Stegostoma tigrinum: one gene and its partner. The protein of the gene in region 1 interacts with the protein of each later gene in a biochemical or structural test. Links are inferred from orthologs where the notes say so. Each region holds a gene or a part of one and is shown on either strand. Other genes may lie near its edges. The genes, in order: dnmt1 and setd7.

The links.
Region 2: of the proteins of dnmt1 (region 1) and setd7, one has a biochemical effect on the other in vitro, tested with the Homo sapiens proteins (2 studies listed by BioGRID and IntAct, with this or other methods). The link is inferred for Stegostoma tigrinum from reciprocal best matches to the Homo sapiens genes DNMT1 and SETD7.

The regions. Positions count from the first base shown.
Region 1 is NC_081388.1:22,289,547-22,299,766, reverse strand, and holds the start of dnmt1 (DNA (cytosine-5)-methyltransferase 1), read right to left. Parts: upstream 4,574-10,220; 5' UTR 4,489-4,573; coding exon 4,427-4,488; intron 1-4,426. UniProt on the Homo sapiens protein: Methylates CpG residues. Preferentially methylates hemimethylated DNA. Associates with DNA replication sites in S phase maintaining the methylation pattern in the newly synthesized strand, that is essential for epigenetic inheritance.
Region 2 is NC_081354.1:26,213,173-26,222,669, reverse strand, and holds the start of setd7 (histone-lysine N-methyltransferase SETD7), read left to right. Parts: upstream 1-5,234; 5' UTR 5,235-5,381; coding exon 5,382-5,421; intron 5,422-6,479; coding exon 6,480-6,609; intron 6,610-9,497. UniProt on the Homo sapiens protein: Histone methyltransferase that specifically monomethylates 'Lys-4' of histone H3. H3 'Lys-4' methylation represents a specific tag for epigenetic transcriptional activation.

The DNA of each region.
Region 1 (10,220 bases):
TGCCAGACTTCTACCACCCTCTGTGTCAAAAACTTGTCCCTCACATCTGATTTGAACTTTCACTCTCTCACCTTAAATGTACGCCCTCTGGTAACAGACATTCCAATTCTGGGAAAAAGATTCCGACCGTCAACCCAATCTATTCATCCTGTCAACAGTTGCTGCTAGATCCAACTTTTCTCAAGCACATCCTCTTATGTTTCAGGTTTCCAGCTTCAGTTATTTGTGTTTATTCCCCAAGAATGTTCTATGTTTCAGCAAGGACTTTTCTAGAATCTAAGGATTCTTGGAAGGCTACTGGATCCACCATCTTTGCTGCCACTTCCTTTAAATCCTTCCAAGAATGCATCCATTATGATCCATCATAACAATATACAAGTTTAAAACTCTCAAACACCCACCCCATTCTTCACTCAAGCCTCTATATCCTTGTGACCTTGTAAAACATTTTGACAATTTTGCAGAGCACAGCAGGATCCTGATCGAATGGGCCAGTGGGCCCAAGGAATGGCCAGTGGAGTTTAATTCAGATAGAGGCAAGGTTGTCGCATTTTAGTGAAACGAACCAGGGTAGGACTTGTGTGCTTAATGGTGAGGGTTCTGGGGAGTGTCGCTGAACAGAGAGACCTTTGCGGGGGGAGCAGGCACATAGTTCCTTGAAAGTGGAGTGGCAGGTAGACAGGGCGGTGAAGAATGTGTAAGGGCATAGAATACCCTGCCTGCAACAGCAGTAGACTCACCAACTTCAAGGGCATTTAAATGGTCACTGGATAAACATATGGGTGATAATGGAATAGTGTAGGTTAGATGGGCTTCACATTGGTTTCACAGGTCGGCGCAACATCGAGGGCCGAAGGTCCTGTACTGAGCTGTAGTGTTCTATGTTCGATGTATGCCTTCAATTCTGGCCTGTATCAATCCACACACCCATGTACAACGACGACGGGGGGGGGGGGGGGGGGGGAGAGACGGGGTCGACGACGACAACGGGGGGGGGGGAGAGAGACGGGGTCGACGACGACGACGGGGGGGGGGGAGAGACGGGGTCGACGACGACGACGGGGGGGGGGAGAGAGACGGGGTCGACGACGACGACGGGGGGGGGGAGAGACGGGGTCGACGACGACGGGGAGGGGGGAGAGACGGGGTCGACGACGATGGGGGGGGGAGACGGGGTCGACGACGACGACGGGGGGGGGGGAGACGGGGTCGACGACGACGACGGGGGGGGGGGGGAGACGGGGTCGACGACGACGACGGGGGGGGGGGGAGACGGGGTCGACGACGACGACGGGGGGGGGGGAGACGGGGTCGACGACGACGACGGGGGGGGGGGGAGACGGGGTCGACGACGACGACGGGGGGGGGGGGGAGACGGGGTCGACGACGACGACGGGGGGGGGGGAGACGGGGTCGACGACGACGACGGGGGGGGGAGACGGGGTCGACGACGACGACGGGGGGGGAGACGGGGTCGACGACGACGACGGGGGGGGGAGACGGGGTCGACGACGACGACGGGGGGGGAGACGGGGTCGACGACGACGACGGGGGGGGAGACGGGGTCGACGACGACGACGGGGGGGGGAGACGGGGTCGACGACGACGACGGGGGGGGAGACGGGGTCGACGACGACGACGGGGGGGGAGACGGGGTCGACGACGACGACGACGGGGGGGGGAGACGGGGTCGACGACGACGACGACGGGGGGGGGGAGACGGGGTCGACGACGACGACGACGGGGGGGGAGACGGGGTCGACGACGACGGCGGGGGGGGAGATGGGGTCGACGTCGACGGGGGGGGGGAGAGACGGGGTCGACGACGACGGGGGGGGGGGGGAGAGACGGGGTCGACGACGACGGGGGGGGGGGAGACGGGGTCGACGACGACGGGGGGGGGGAGACGGGGTCGACGACGACGGGGGGGGGGAGACGGGGTCGACGACGACGGGGGGGGGGAGACGGGGTCGACGACGACGGGGGGGGGGAGACGGGGTCGACGACGACGGGGGGGGGGGGAGACGGGGTCGACGACGACGGGGGGGGAGACGGGGTCGACGACGACGGGGGGGGGAGACGGGGTCGACGACGACGGGGGGGGGGAGACGGGGTCGACGACGACGGGGGGGGGGGGAGACGGGGTCGACGACGACGGGGGGGGGAGACGGGGTCGACGACGACGGGGGGGGGGAGACGGGGTCGACGACGACGGGGGGGGGAGACGGGGTCGACGACGACGGGGGGGGGGAGAGACGGGGTCGACGACGACGGGGGGGGGAGAAGACGGGGTCGACGACGACGGGGGGGGAGAAGACGGGGTCGACGACGACGGGGGGGGAGAAGACGGGGTCGACGACGACGGGGGGGGAGAAGACGGGGTCGACGACGACGGGGGGGGAGAAGACGGGGTCGACGACGACGGGGGGGGAGAAGACGGGGTCGACGACGACGGGGGGGGAGAAGACGGGGTCGACGACGACGGGGGGGGAGAAGACGGGGTCGACGACGACGGGGGGGGAGAAGACGGGGTCGACGACGACGGGGGGGGAGAAGACGGGGTCGACGACGACGGGGGGGGAGAAGACGGGGTCGACGACGACGGGGGGGGAGAAGACGGGGTCGACGACGACGGGGGGGGAGAAGACGGGGTCGACGACGACGGGGGGGGAGAAGACGGGGTCGACGACGACGGGGGGGGAGAAGACGGGGTCGACGACGACGGGGGGGGAGAAGAAGACGGGGTCGACGACGACGACGGGGGAGAAGACGGGGTCGACGACGATGGGGGGGGGAAGACGGGGTGGTCGACGACGACGAGGGGGGAAGACGGGGTCAACGACGACGGGGGGGGAGAAGACGGGGTCGACGACGACGGTGGGGGAAGAGGGCCTTGGCAACGGGGTGAAAGAGGGGCTTGGCGACGGGGGGGGGGAAGAGGGGCTTGGCGACGGGGGGGGGAAGAGGGGCTTGGCGATGGGGGGGGAAGAGGGGCTTGGCGATGGGGGGGGAAGAGGGGCTTGGCGATGGGGGGGGGAAGAGGGGCTTGGCGATGGGGGGGGGGAAGAGGGGCTTGGCGATGGGGGGGAAGAGGGGCTTGGCGATGGGGGGGAAGAGGGGCTTGGCGATGGGGGGGGAAGAGGGGCTTGGCGATGTTGGGGGGGAAGAGGGGCTTGGCGATGGGGGGGGGAAGAGGGGCTTGGCGATGGGGGGGAAAGAGGGGCTTGGCGATGGGGGGGAAAGAGGGGCTTGGCGATGGGGGGGAAAGAGGGGCTTGGCGATGGGGGGGAAAGAGGGGCTTGGCGATGGGGGGGAAAGAGGCGCTTGGCGATGGGGGGGGAAAGAGGCGCTTGGCGATGGGGGGGGAAAGAGGCGCTTGGCGATGGGGGGGGAAAGAGGCGCTTGGCGATGGGGGGGGAAGAGGCGCTTGGCGATGGGGGGAAGAGGCGCTTGGCGATGGGGGGGAAGAGGCGCTTGGCGATGGGGGGGGAAGAGGCGCTTGGCGATGGGGGGGGAAGAGGCGCTTGGCGATGGGGGGGGGAAAGAGGCGCTTGGCGATGGGGGGGAAGAGGCGCTTGGCGATGGGGGGGAAGAGGCGCTTGGCGATGGGGGGGAAGAGGCGCTTGGCGATGGGGGGGGGAAAGAGGCGCTTGGCGACAGGGGAGAAGACAATGGGGTGGTTGATGGTGGAGAGGAGGGGGGAATCAATGGTGGAGGGGAGGGTAATGATATGGGGAGGGGGTCAACGGTGGAGAGAAGGGGTAATGATGGGGGGTGTTGATGGTGGAGAGAAGGGGTAACGATGGGGGGAGTGAGGGTTGGTGGAGAGGAGGGATAATGATGGGGGGGAGTGGGGGTTGACGGAGAGGAGGGATAATGATGGGGGGAGTAGGGGTTGATGGAGAGGAGGAGTATTGATGGGGAGAGTGGGGGTTGATGGAGAGGAGGGATAATGATGGGGGGAGTAGGGGTTGATGGAGAGGAGGAGTATTGATGAGGAGAGTGGGGGTTGACGGAGAGGAGGGATAATGATGGGGGGAGTGAGGGTTGATGGAGAGGAGGGATAATGATGGGGGGAGTAGGGGTTGACGGAGAGGAGGGATAATGATGGGGGGAGTAGGGGTTGATGGAGAGGAGGAGTATTGATGGGGAGAGTGGGGGTTGATGGAGAGGAGGGATAATGATAGGGTGGGTATAATTTCGGGGGGTGGAGTGATAAATGCAGTTTGGCGCCAAATCCTCGGATCGCCATCACCGAGTCTCCGGAGATTGGGATTCATCACCAGCTTCCCCCGCCACATGCACACCATATTGACGGGAGGAGGGGGGGGAGGCATTGACGGTAACCGGGCCGCGGCTGTGAATCCCCGCCGATGGAGAGAGGCCGCAGGCCCCAGCGCCGCCTGAGGGGAATTCATTCACTCACCGCTTCCTGATGTCCTCGGGCAGGGAGGATGCGGCGGCACTACCGCTGATCCGGGCTGGCATCGCGGGCGGAGCGGGCCGACTGGGGGGAAAGGGGGCGGCGGCGGTTCCCGGCTCCGGGCGGAAAACAGCGGCGCGAGCGAGCGGGCGGGCGGGCGGGCGGGGATTTTCGCGCGCGATCCGGACTGGTCCAGTCGCTGATAAGCGAGAGGGAGGGATAAATAATAAATTATCACATTAAACAATCAGATCATAGCCAGATTATCAATATTCCATCGTTGTTTGTCTACAGAGAATTTGACTAATTCAGCTGGTTGCTTTCTATCCTTCAACAATGAAGGAATTAGGACGTTTCTTTCTAAAACACATGATGGTTCCCCCCCACCCCTTATCCTCCATGTTATGGTTGCTGCTCACGGTCCGGGTCATTCATCATTGGAATCCCAGAAAAAGAAGAACGGGGGCTTGTTGTATTTTTAATGAATGTTTTTATCCCATCCACCGCTTATCCTGTGAGAAAAATTTTTCATCACTTGTGATTTATTAACAGTAAAATATCTGTCTGATTGTGGTTAACGCAGTGATCTTTATAAAAGAGGCAACTTGCGGCAGATTGTGTTTCTAGATGCAGTCCCCCCCTCTTTCCGAAATGGATTCCTCCCAGGCTGTAACCTCTGAAAAGATGAATGGGAAGCAAGGGAGGGAGGGGGAGTGGCTTCCCCTTGCTGTAGTAACTAGACTCAAATACTCCACATTGTGTAACACACTACCATATTCTATAAACAGCACTACCACACATCGTCTCAGCAAGAGTAAAGCAATATCGGTTCGACTGTTATTTTAAGTTTGAAACAATCATTTCAGTTACTCCTCCAGCAGTGATTGAATAAGCCCACACGTTTTAATGCTCATTGATGTGCCCCCCCAATACATTGTAACTTGCTTCTTGTAATTTGCAGCAAATGTCACACTTCCCTTTACCTCGGTTTCTTCTCCAAATGCATTTTCGTTGCATTGTCAGCTTTTATTTTTGTTTGCTTCCTGTCCTGTTGTGATCTGTAGAGATCGTTTGCTGATGGCCATTCACAAAGCCTCTAATTTGACAGTGGCCGTGGAGTAAAGTCTTTGAACACAGAACACGTACGTTTCATGAAAGTGTCAAGAGGTTCGGCGCATTTTTTTTTATTCCAGAGTTGTTAGAAAGTGGTATGCATAAACCGAAATGGTGGTGGGAAGCAGAATCCGTGATAACTTTTAGAAGGAAGTGGATGAATGTTTTAAAAACAAAATGCGTTAGAAAAGGGCAGAGGTGACAGCTATGAATCAGCGTGAACCTTCGAAAGCGTAAACAGAAAATGCTGGAGGAACTCGGCAGATCTGGCAGCATCTGTGGAAAGAGAAATAGAGTTAACGGTTCGCGTCCTGAGTAAATTCTTCAGGACTGAAAGGCGTTGGAAAATGTTTCTGTTACACCTTTGAAAGAACAGAGGAGGAGTGAGAAGAACAGACTTTTGTGGAGGCCCACTACAAAAAGGGTTGTTAATTGTAGTGAAAGAAATAGGATGTTAAAATGGGTGTAAATTAGTGGGGGTGGGAACGGTTGAAAAGTGGGACCCGTCCCCTGAGAGCGAAGTAGACAAGACAGGGGTGCTGGGGGTTGTAAGGCAAATTGAGAACGAACATTTGAAGTTGTGGAAATCAATATTAAGTCCTAGAGGCTGTAAAGCATCCGAGCTTAAAATGATGTTTTTTTTCCAGAGCTTACTTTGACCCACTGGACTGAATCTATAATTTTTACAACTTTCACTTTTACAATTTGTATTTCAAAACTGAGGCAGGTGGGTATTTGTGACTTCTGTGAAGGTGTTCCTTAAAAAAAAACAAAGCCAGACTCCTTCCAGAGCACTGACTTAAATCCAACATTTGATTAAAGATCGGATAGACCCCCAATGGTGTTAGGAACTGCCAATGCTGGAGAATCTGAGATAACAAGGTGTAGTGCTGGATGAACACAGCAGGCAAAGATGGTGCTTGGCCAGCTGTGTTCATCCAGCTCTACACCTTAACGTTTATATTGTTGAGTTTATATCAGGTAAAATAAAAGGTCGTTAGTTTTGTTTACAGTTCAGTCCAGAGAACACTAGTGTTGAGTTTAGAAGTAAGGTTTGTTTCCCTCCTCAGCTGAGGATTCAGAGAATAAGTCACCACAGCAGAAGGGTTAAAGTTTGTGAAACTTCTAAACTGGTAGAGTTTGGTTAGCTGCTGATTGGAACTAAGAGGTTTAGACTCTTTGATTTGCGAAAAGTTCACATCTGCAGATTTGGAAAGGAATAACTGAATTAGCTTCACAGTCAATAGCAATTAAACTATCAGGAGTCTGTGCAGTAGAACCCTAATGAGATCGGGCTGTAAATTCTGTGAACTTGTCTCTGTAACCAAATAATATTGGGAAACTAGTTGAAATTTTGGCCAAACATGCGCAGAAAATAGTCAGAAAGGCTAATCGAATGGCAGCCTTTATAACTAGACAACTAGAATACAAGGGATGTGAATTTCTGCTACAGCTAAATACTAGCCAGACCACACTGTGACCAAAACAGGGCATCACACCTTGGATGAATATATTTGTTTCGGACAGAATGCAGCATAGGTTTGTCAGAATGATATATGGACTCCCAGGAGTTAAATTTAAAGGAGAAATTATACAAACCAGAGTAATATTCCTTTGATTTTAATGTTAAGTGTAATTGTTAAAATTAATTTTCAACAATATGGAGTTAGGGCATAGAGCAGTCACAAACACATCAAATGGAACATTCTTGAAGAAGTAAATAGCATCCTCCTGTCTTTGCATTTGCTGATTTAAGTCTGTACACAGTGCACAAGGTGGCAATGTTTTCCATAAATTTAAAATGCTCCAGTGACCTACAAACTCAATGCTGACAGCTGGAATCAGCAGTTAGTACTAGCCCAGCTACACTGACAGTAATATTGATTTGTATTATTTACAGGAAATTTCAGTTTAACTCCAAGAGCACAAGATCAACAGTGTAGATAAATCTCACAACACACCCTACATATATCAGTGTGAGCTTCCTTATCTATTACTAGTACAATGGCATCAGCAAGTTGTTCTATCTTTGGAACAGGTCATGATTCTCTGCTTTTCCAATTTTCACATCCTTGTACTTACTAGCAGCAGGTCACAGTAAACGTGTGAGAAATCTAGTTAATTCTCTAATTAGTCTCACTGACTGCAAGATATGCAGTCAGGTCTGATTTTCTGTTTTCATCTCTCATTGCTCTTCTAATTCTTATGAACGTGCATTAAACTACACGGCATACATCATTACAATAACACACAGTATTCTAACTTTAGTCAGTGCAGAATGCCTTAAATATGGATTCAATACCAACAGGCATAGTCTATAAATTTATTAATTTTAGCGATTTCATCTGATTCTAACAGCTGCCAAACTTAGGCAGACTTGAGAATCATTTCTAGCAATAAGCTAAAGTGTCAGCCTTGTTTGAATTAAATTTGAAAGAAAACTGAACTTAAAAGGTTTAAACTTAATTTTCTGCTAGTTAGCCCAGTTCATACAAAACAGAAAGAGGTCTGAACTGAATGTCAGAGTTTCTCTCTAGTATTTAGATGGATTGGTTTGGCTCAATTATGAATTTTTCTAAGATTCATTTCCAAGTGGACCCTACCAAAATTTTCTTCTGTCCTGAGGCTATTTCGTTCACCTCAGATTGCAGGAGCCGTATAAGTGGTTATTCTTCATGACATCCAAAATAGTAATTAATCAATAAGTCTACATGATTGCAAAGAGCAATACAGCTGTTGTTCCTTGTCCTACTACATGCAAGTGTGCCTCTTCTAATAAGGACTGATCAGAAATGAAAAAATCTGATCATTGATCCTCTACATTGCCAAAGAGTACCAACTCCAGCCCTCCAAATACAAGCCTGATTGAATCCACAATCTTGACCTACGGTCAAGTATCTAGTAACAGAGGTGACACTTCAGTTTTTATGGCAAAAATATACATATGTACATAGAACATAGAACAGTACAGCACAGAACAGGCCCTTCAGCCCACAATGTTGTGCCGACCATTGATCCTCATGTATGCACCCTCAAATTTCTGTGACCATATACATGTCCAGCAGTCTCTTAAATGACCCCAATGACCTTGCTTCCACAACTGCTGCTGGCAACGCATTCCATGCTCTCACAACTCTCTGCGTAAAGAACCTGCCTCTGACATCCCCTCGATACTTTCCACCAACCAGCTTAAAACTATGACCCCTCGTGCTAGCCATTTCTGCCCTGGGAAATAGTCTCTGGCTATCAACTCTATCTCTGCCTCTCATTATCTTGTATACCTCAATTAGGTCCCCTCTCCTCCTCCTTTTCTCCAATGAAAAGAGACCGAGCTCAGTCAACCTCTCTTCATAAGATAAGCCCTCCAGTCCAGGCAGCATCCTGGTAAACCTCCTCTGAACCCTCTCCAAAGCATCCACATCTTTCCTATAATAGGGCGCCCAGAACTGGACGCAGTATTCCAAGTGCGGTCTAACCAAAGTTTTATAGAGCTGCAACAAGATCTCACGACTCTTAAACTCAATCCCCCTGTTAATGAAAGCCAAAACACCATATGCTTTCTTAACAACCCTGTCCACTTGGGTGGCCATTTTAAGGGATCTATGTATCTGCACACCAAGATCCCTCTGTTCCTCCACGCTGCCAAGAATCTTATCCTTAATCCTGTACTCAGCTTTCAAATTCGACCTTCCAAAATGCATCACCTCGCATTTATCCAGGTTGAACTCCATCTGCCACCTCTCAGCCCATCTCTGCATCCTGTCAATGTCCCATGTATAGTTATTTTGTATCATTCAAACAGGGCTGCCTGCACTATTAAGTCTGGTCGTGGCTGTTCTTTGGTGAACTCCTGGAATACTAATAATTGGCCTCAGCAATAACTGCATTTCAAACCTTTCCCTGTGATTCTGTGGAATTTCCTGCCCAGTGAAGCAGTTGAGGCTATCTTGGTGAATGTTTTTAGGGCAATGATAGACAGATTTTCGCACAGTAAAGGAATTAGAGTTATGGTGAGCAGGCTTGACAGGCCAGACAGCATACTGCTGCTCCTATTTCTTATGTTGCTTGGGAGCAAAGCTGATGCAGAACTTTAAAGATCCTGAATTTCTTTTCATATGTCAATTTAATTTGAATTGTGAGGCAGCCAAGAGAGCACCTTATTTTCTTGACTGCTTCCCTTTTCCGCAAACACATTAGGTCACAAAGCATTGTTTTTAGTTAACTTTCATTAAATGCCTTTCACATAGATGCAATGTCAACTCCCTTTGTAGCTCATTGTGTATTAATAAAAGGACTGTGGCTTCAGTTAGTCTGAAAACAATACAACAAAAAGTATAATTTTTCAATGCATTTAATGAGTCTTCAGCAGAACTGCAAATACAACCACAATGTCAAGACATTCAAAAAAAAAATCAGCATTGCCTGCATTTACTGCCGTAAATTTAAGACATTTTTGTAGGAAACACAAAATTTATTTATAAAATGGTTGTTATGTTTGTAACAGTTTTTTTTGGCAATTTACGTACCCGAGGTATCAGTGGAAAAAGTTACTGCAGGGTTGAAAGCAGCTTTAAAAAGAAAACTGTCAAGTTTTTGGAAGGATTGCAACTTTGATTTTACACGTGTTATCTGGAGCTTTCTCTCATTCCGTTCAGGATCTTGAAACAATTTAACTCCAACGAGA
Region 2 (9,497 bases), on another chromosome or scaffold:
TTCAGGGAGGGAATTCCAGGCGTTTGACCCAGCAACAGTGAAGGAATGATGATATATATTCCAGGTCAGGATGGTAAGGGTCTTAGAGGAGAATTTGCAGGTGGTGGTACATCATTACCTTTATTTTATCATTTACATGGAATAGGTTTAGAAAACATTCTCAAAATGCTTTAATTTTTAACTATGCAGTCTTTACCTGCTGCCAGGAGTGTGAAGTTGGAATGTTACCCCTATAAAAAAGCTTTCTGAGACCACCTCTAAAGTTTCAATTTCTAAACGGCCAACAATAGCTGAGATATGGATACTAGGATCCCCAGTATGTTTTGAATTAACAGACCTTATCTGGGCCAGCAGTAGAGGCATAACAACTGAATACTGTATTTCGGCTGATGAGGGGCAAAGTAGGGGAGGTGATGGCCCAGTGGTATTGTTGTTAAACTATTAATCCAGAGACTCAACTAATATCCTGGGGACCTGGGTTCAAATCCCACCACGTCAGATGGTGAAGTTTGAATTCAATGAAATAGAAAATCTGGAATGAAGAGTCTAACAATGACTGTGAAGCCATTATGATTTATAAAAAAGAAATCAGCCAGTGTTCTTAATGGAAAGCGGACAAATGTGGGTGTCAGCTCAAAGGTGCTAGTAGTTTAACAGCATGAGGCCACATATGTAAACAGTCTGTAATTTATTGAAAAGTAATTGGCAATATTAGGAATGAGACAGGTCGGCATTGGGAGCAGTTCTAAAACACAGTATGGCGGAATATAACATACACCAGAAATGTTGGGATGGATGGACTGCAGGATGTATTTGGAAATGCAGTTGGTTGTCCATAAAAACATAAGACGTAGGAGCAGAAGTAGGCCTTTCAGCTTAACAGGCATTGTTCACTCTTCCATGAGATCACGGATGATCTGATAAACCTCAACTCACATTGCAAGGAATTCTTGATTTCTTTAACTGATTAAAATTCTCTCCATCTCAGCTTGAATATAGGAATGGGCTAGGCCATTCAGCCCTTCAAATCTGTTCCACCATTCAATGAGATCATAGCTCTTCTGTGGCTTAACTCCATATGGACCAAAGGCAGGTATATCCCTTAGTACCTTCACTTAAGAAAAATTGATCCATCTCAAATTTAAAATTAACAACTAATCCATCATCCACTGCCATTTGTGGAGGAGAGTTCCAAACCTCTACCACCCCTTCATGTATAGAAGTACTTCCTAACATACCTCCTGAATGGTCTGGCCCTAATTCTTACACTATGCCCCATGGTTCTAGAATCATCCACAGTGAAAATAGTTTATCTTTATCTACTGTCTTTTCCTATCAATATCTTGAAGCCTTCAATCAGACCACCCCTTAATCTTCTAAATTCTTGAGCAGATAGGCCTAATTTGTGTAATCTTTCCTTATTATTTGAACGCTGAAGTTGAGGTATGATTCTTGTAAACCACATTATACTCCCTCCAAGGCCAATATATTCTTCCTAAGGTGTGGTGCTCAAACCTACTCATAGTATTTCAAGTGGGATTTTATATAACTGCGGCATCGCTTCTCCAAATATGAACTCCAGTCTACTAGAAAGGCCATAATTCAATTAACTTCCTTTATTATGTTCTACACTTTTTTCTGAAATTTTAAAGATAAATGCACATGAACCCCCAAGTGTCTTTGGACATTCATTTGATACCATCTAGAATGTACCCTGATCTATTCTTCGTCAGTCCAAAATGGTTAACTTCACACTTCTTAACTTGAACTCCATCTGCTAGAATTTTATCCACTCATTTAGTCTATTAATATCCATTTGTAATTTTATGTGATATATTATATATATATATATATATATCCACACACACACACACACACACACACACACACACACACACACACACACACACACACACACACACACACACACATATATACTGTCTACAGTGTTACCTGATTTTGATCCAGCCTCAATAGTTTCTGTAGTAAAGAATTATAGAGTCATAAGAGTTGTACAACACAAAAGCAAACCCTTCAGTCCAACTCGTACATCCTAAATTAATCTAGTTCCATTTTCCAGCATTTGGCCAATAACCCTCTTAAATCCTTTCTAGTCATGGACCCATCCAGATACCTTTTAAATGTTGTAATTGTACCAGCCCTCCACCACTTCCTCTGGAAGCTCGTACCATACACTCATCACTTTCTATGTGGCCCCTTTTAAATCTTTCCCCTCTCACCTTAAACCTATGTCCTCCAGTTTTCGGCTCCCAAACCCTGGGAAAAAAGACATTGGCTGTTCACTGCACTCTCATATTTTATAAACCTCTATAAAGTTACCCCTTAGCCTCTGATGTTCAGGGGAAAATAGCCCCAGGTTATTCAGCCTCTCCTTGTAGCTCAAACTCTCCAAACGTGGCAACACCCTTGTAAATCTTTTGTGAACCAATTCCACAGGTTCGCCACTGTCTGGGAGAAAAAAAAATTCTCCTCGTCATTATCTTAAATGGGTGCCCTCTGGTCCTAAACTCTTCCACAAAGTGGAAACACCCTGTCTGCATCTACCCTTTCAATAAAGTTGTCTCTCATTCTTCTTAACGCAAATGAGTACAGGCCCAGCCTACTTAGCTTTTCCTCTTAGTCAATCCATTCCTGGTATCAACTTAGTGAATGTATATTAATAACTCAGGAAGAAGGTGAATATGTTGTAACCAATATGCACCTGAATTAAAATCGGGGAGAAAACAAATTGCATGAGGGGTACAAACAATTCACAGATGTTGATAGGTTAAGTGGGCAAAACATTGATAAGTGGAGTATAATATGGGAAAATGTGAAGTTGTTCATTTAGGATAGGAGAATAAAAGAACAGGGTATTATTTAAATAGAGAAAAACTGCAGAAAGCTACAACACAAAGGGACTTGTGGGTATTGCTGCACAAAACACTGCAAGTTAATAACAGGTGCAGCAGAAAATCAAGAAGGTTAATGGAATGTTGGTCTTAATTCAAGGGTTTGGAGAATAAGAATAAGAGATGCTGATTGTTCTGAGCGAAGGCTAAGCACACTGGGACTGATCAGAACTTAGAAGAATGAGAGGTGATTTCATTGAAACATGTGGGATTGTCAAGGAACTTGACAGGATAGATGTTGAGAGGATGTATTAGCTCATGGGAAAGTCTAGACCGAAGGGCATCATCTCAGAATAAACACGCAACCGTTTAATAAAACATACAAAGGCACATAAATCCCTGGGACCTGATCAAATGTATCCCAGTACATTGTGGGAAACTAGGGAAGAAATTGTTGAATCCTTAGTGGCGATATTTGTATTATCAACAGCCATGGGTGAAGTGCCAGAAGACTGGAGGGCGGCTAATGTTGTGCTATTGTTTAAGAAAGGCTGCAAAGAAAGGCCAGGGAGGTACAGACAGTGAGCTTGACCTCAATGGTGGATTTGACATCAATGGTTCTTGGAGGGCATTCTGAGAAACAGGACCTGCGTGTATTTGGAAAGGCAAGGACTGATAATCAGCATGGCTTTGTGAGTGGGAAATCATGTCTCACAAACTTGATTGAGTTTTTTGAAGAGGTGATCAAAAAGGTAGAAGAAGGCAGAGTGGTAGATGTGGCCTACATGGACTTTAGTGAAACCTTTGACAAAGTTCCTCATGGTAGACTAGTTAGTAAAGTTAGATCGCATGGCATCCAGGGAGAGCTAGCTAATTGGATACAAAATTGGCTTAACATAGAAGACAGAGCATGGTAAGATCAATGCTGGGACCACTATTGTTCGTCAGTTCTATTTAATGATTTGGATGAGAATACAGGAGGCATGTTTAATAGGTTTATGGATGACACCAGAATTGGTGGTATAGTGGACAGTGAGGAAGGTTATCTAACAGTACAGAAAGATTTGATCAACTTGTCCAGAGGGCCAAGGAATGAAGTTTAATTCAGATAAATGTGAGGTATTGAGTTTTAGTAAGACAAACCAAGGCAGGACTTGTACAGTTAATGATAGCAATCGCAGGAGTGTTGTTGAACAAGGAGACCTAGGGATGCAGGTACATAGTTCCTTCAAAATGTCATTGCAGGTAGACAGGATGGTAAAGAAGGTGCTTGGCAAACTTGCCTTCATCAATTGAAGCATTGAATGCAGGAGTTGTAATTTCATGTTACGGATATACAAGACACTGGTAAGGCCACATTTGGGGTACTGAGTACAATTCTGGTTACCCTGCTGTACGAAGGATGTTATTAAACTAGAAAGGGTGGAAAAAAGATTTACAACCAAGAGTTGAGAGTTTGAGATATGAGGAGAGGCTGGTTAAGCTGTGAGTTTTTGCCCTGGAGCATAGGAGGCTGAGGGCTGACCTTGTAGAAGTTCATAAAATCGTGAGGGGCATAGATAAAATGATTAGTCAACGTCTTTTCCAGGGTTGGGGAGTCCAAAACCAGAGGACATAGATTTAAAGGAGAGGGGAAAGATTTAAAAGGGAACAGGGGGTATATATGGAACAAGTTATCAGAGAAAGTGGTAGAGGTGAGTACATTACAACATTTAAATAGAATCGGTGGAGTATTTGGATAGTGTTATGGCCAAATGCAGGCCAGTGGGACTAGTTCAGTTTAGATAACCTGGTCCGTATGGACGAGTTGGCCCGCAGGTTCTGTTTCTGTGCTGTTTGACTTTAAGTATCTAGGTGGATTATTTTCTTCAATCAGAGGGTTGAGCATCTTTGTAATTCCTTGCCACAGACAGCTGTGGGGGCAGAGTCCTTGTATTTGGTTAAGGTTGAGATAGATGGATCAGATGGGGAATCTAGGGTTATGGGGAAAGGGCAGGAAATGGGTCATGAGGAATGTGAGACTGTTGAATTGCTCAGCCGGCCTACTCCTGTTCGTAATTCTCCTGGTCTTAACCTTCACTGGGCTGCCTCCAACGCCAGTACATCTTTCCTGACATTTGATGGTCTATGCCTCTTGATGCCTGTGTCTCTCCAATATGCACGAGTTGGTGTCAGGGGGTAGAAATGTGCGTGGTGAGATGATGGAAATGGTTCTTCGTTTTATTACAGCGTGTGATTATATTCTGCGAGGAGGGAGAGAGATTGAAATTGTCAATCAAAGCCTTTGGGTGGGAGGGGTGCGAGAGAGTGCGTCTGGCAGTGAATGGAGCGACCGCTAATGGTGGGAAGGGTTTTGGGAGGTGAGGTAGTGCTGAGACTGTCGATCAATGCAGCAGCTGGGGGAAGAGGGATGATGTCAGTGTCTGATTCCGGTTTACGCAGCGGTAACTTGCAGTCTAAGCAAAGACAGAGTTAGAGCTGGTCTCCCTAGTGCGAAAAGAAGCCTCAGCCACTGAGAGCAGCGGTGTTATGGACAGTGACGACGATAATGTGGAGGAGACGGTAGAAGGTGAGGGGGGTGAGGGGGTGAGGGGGGTGTTCCAGAGAAAGGGTTTGATGCCTCATCTCCCTAAAACAAGCCGGGCAGCAGGGAGGGACAGTGCAGCGCGGATATATTCGGCCCAAAACCGCCCGTCTCGAGAGAGGTGGCTTTTATTTAGTGCGTTTAACCCATGCGTCGAAAAATCAGTCAGTGAATGTACCTTTTTAAGAAAAATGTTTTGTAAAAGTTTTTTTGCTCTGAGGCTTTGTTGACGAAATGCAAATTTAATTCGTCAAGATAAAGCCCAGTGTTAGTTTTCTTTGTTGAAGTACGTCGAAATTCTATTCTGACTTACCGGGGAATGGAATGGATTTTTTTTATAAACAAAAAGTGAATCGTTTTAAAAGACAATGTGCTACTTTAGCGGTTATGTAACGTGGATTATTGTGATGCAGGCAGTCCCTCAGAGGAGAACAATGAAAGCACCACTACTGTGGTGGTAGACTGAGGCTGTGTGTTTATAATTTGTTGCATATTTACAATCTGAAACAGAGCCTGGAAACTTTTCTCTCCCTTTCTCCATCTCCCCCCCCCCCCCCCCCCGTACCTTTTATAAACAATGTAATCTTTACTTCACGGTGAAGTCTTCGAGGGGAGGTCATTGTCGATGGTAACAATTTGCTGTACGATTTTATTTTCTGTCTAACAATGATTATTTAAGAATTGAGAAATAAAGCTTTCCCCCTCCCCACCCCACCCCACTGTTAATGCCACACGCAACAGTGAGGAAATGAAAAAGCCGTTTCTCCCCCATCGCGACATTTCAGCTGTTGTGTTCACTCATAATAAATAACCCAGTCGGGGGTTGGGGGGAAAAAAGTCACCTCCAAACTGGGTTTCGCACAGTCCTTAAGTCGAAGCCTCCCTTTTGACTTTGTGAACAGAATTCCTGCTTGATACTTAGTCAGCAGATGTGTGTCATATATTGCAGTAATTTGCATTGTTTTTTTCTTTTGGATTTAAGATGATGCATTTTACGTGTGTGTGTGCTGAGGTTCAGTAAGTTTAAAGTGTTCCTATTGTAGGTCCCCTGGATGAAGATAACGAGCCACATGGGTTCTGTAAAGTTACCTATTCTTCAGGTGACAGATTTGAAGGGCATTTTGTGCATGGTGAGAAGAATGGTCACGGGAAGTTCTATTTTTTTGATGGCAGGTAAAAAAAATCAAAGTCCATCAATTTGAAGCTTTATTACTTGTTTAGATATATTTGCTCTGTCAGAGGGGTTTTTCTCTTGATCTGAGTTAGGATTTCTTTGACTGTAATTTGGAATGTGTATAATGGTACCTTTTACTGGGAAAAAGGGTGGCCTTGTTCAACCATTTGCTGTTGCACTTAGTCTATAAATCAGAAGTTTATTGACACTATCAATGCTGGTGATTCAAATTTCATATGGACGTTTCATTTCTATTGATTTTATAAAGTATATTTGGCAGTGTGTGCTTGTTGCAGTTTGTTTCTACAAACTGCTCCTTTGCAACATTACCCAGATTGAAAATGATGTATATTATGCTTTGCTCACTTTTTGATGGCATCATGAGTGTAGTTTGTAACAACTAAATTACAAATTTTCAGTTGTGCAGGGAGATTTCCTGTTTTCCCTTTATTCTCTTTAGGTTTTCATAATTATCTTTTTAAGAGTCGGGAGGAAATGGAGAGGGATGGATGTTTTTGTCAGTGATGACAGTACTGCCTTGCCAGCAGAAAGTTTGTTTGTATCATGAAGACGCTATCCTCATACATAAATGCGTATGCAGCTGAATTGTGAAATAATTGTGGGTACATTACAAACAATGCATTTTGTCTCGGTAGAACAGCAAGGACAAGAATTATAGAATGATGCCAGCTCAGTAACTATTTATGGAACTGTTATACGGGGAGGAAAGTAAATCTTTACAGTTGCTGTGTAAGGGAGAAAAATAATGACCTAAGTAACTAAAATTTAAGCATACAAAATTTTATTTCAACAAATAAATTCAGTTCAAAGATTCATTAAGAAATTGTGGTCTTTTGAAATCACATTTAATATCTTTGTCAATATATATTTATTAATTTGATGAAAACATCACATTTTGCTATGATTTTTGATTTGTAATTTTTCCATATAAAAATAGTTCCTATTCATTGTGTAAAATGAGATATAACTAGGGGATGTGTATTCTGGTGTTCACTTGCTTGCAGGTCATTCCAAATGGTTTCTCCATCTGAAAACTTTTTGTCAAGAACCGAACATTCTATGTTTCCAAGGTTTTTTTTTTGAAAGAAAATCAAAGAATACCAGACCCTAGTAACATTATTAAATATTTCATTTAAGCTTTTATAACTTTAGCCTTTTCTGAAAGCACAACTTGTAACTGGGGTCGGTATATTTCGTGGATAATGGGAACGGCAGATGCTGGAGAATCCAAGATAACAAAGTGTGGAGCTGGATGAACACAGCAGGCCAAGCAGCATCTCAGGAGCACAAAAGCTGACATTTCGGGCCTAGACCCTTCATCAGAAAGGGGGGATGGGGAGAAGGATCCAAAATAAATAGGGAGAGGCGGACCGAAGATGGACAGAGGAGAAGATAGATGGAGAGGAGACAGACAAGTTAAAGGGGCGGGGAAGGAACCTGTAGAGGTCAGCATAGGTGGAGAGGTGGGGAGGACGGACAGAGGACTGACCTATCCCCTCCCCACCCACACTCTATTTCGTGATGCGGTTTAAGCATTTGAAGTGTCTGATTTCCTAGCTGCATTGATTTGAGTATTTTTCTTTAGCTGCAAGCTTCCTTTGATCATTGGAAAAAAGGACACATTTCCAAAGTTTTATTGAGGTAATCAAATGAGTATGAGGTATGGTTATGAGACAAGGGAAAATATATATTATGCTAATTGTACTCTTGGTTCTGTGTTCCAAAAAACACAATAACCATAAAATGCTGAAAATACATCTCAACACTAATGTCAATTATCTCATCTGAGATGTTATATTTTAAACAATGTCAGAACTAAGCAATTACACCTGTGAAACTGATTCTAAATTCTAACAGATAAATGAGGAGAAATAGACATGTAGTTGAGAAAGTGAGACAGGCAAAATGAAGTAATTACAAGGAAAGATGGGCAGTTCATTCTAATTTTATTTACTCACATTTAAAAAGAAAATGAGCAAACAAACCTTCTTCCCTTCCTCCTTTTTAAAGAAAGGAGGAAGAATAAAGGGAACTACTTGCCACCTGCTTTTGGGACAGGACCATTGAAGTAATTAATCTAGTGCAGTCATAGTTGTCAGTCTTTTCACATCTTACTGTTCAGTGTCGGTTGGAAGCAAAATAATGTATGGTGTAGGGTTTCCAACTGATTCAACTGCATCAGTTTCCCTTGTGTTATTAATAGCTCCTAGTGTTCCAGTTGGAATTGGAATTTGGGAACAAGTGTTGTCATGTTTGTGGCAAAGAAGCATATATCTGCAATCAGTCTGATAACTGGGGACATGGGTTTTCAGATGCACTATTTCTAGAATATTCCATTCCAAGTTAGAGAGAGTGGCGTGATAACTTTTTTTTTTCCTCCAGATATTTCATTTCTTTCTTCAGATGTAAGACAGAAGCAAATGTACTAGTTAACTTGCAGCATTATTATGTAGGGAAGTACTTGTGGTGTGATCTTGGATCAATCTCTTGGTATTGATACTTTTAAAATATATTTGTGTATTATTATGTTATTCTTGGGTCTTTACAACTTGAGCAGTAAGGAATTTCAAACTAAAACTTAAAAACAAAATCAAAGATGCTGGAAATCAGAAAGAAAACCAGAAATTGCTGGGATAACCCAGCAGGTCTTATGGCATCTGTGGAGAGAAAGCAGAGTTAACGTTTCAGAAGGAGGGTCACTGGTCCTGAAACATTAAACTTTTTGCTTTTTCACGACAGATGGGGCTGCCAGGCCTGCTGAGTTATCTCTCAATTTCTGTGTTGTTTTTTCAGGAATTTAGACCATAAGACACAAGGCCATTTATCCCATTGAGTCCACTCGGCCATTTAATCATGGCTGATGGGC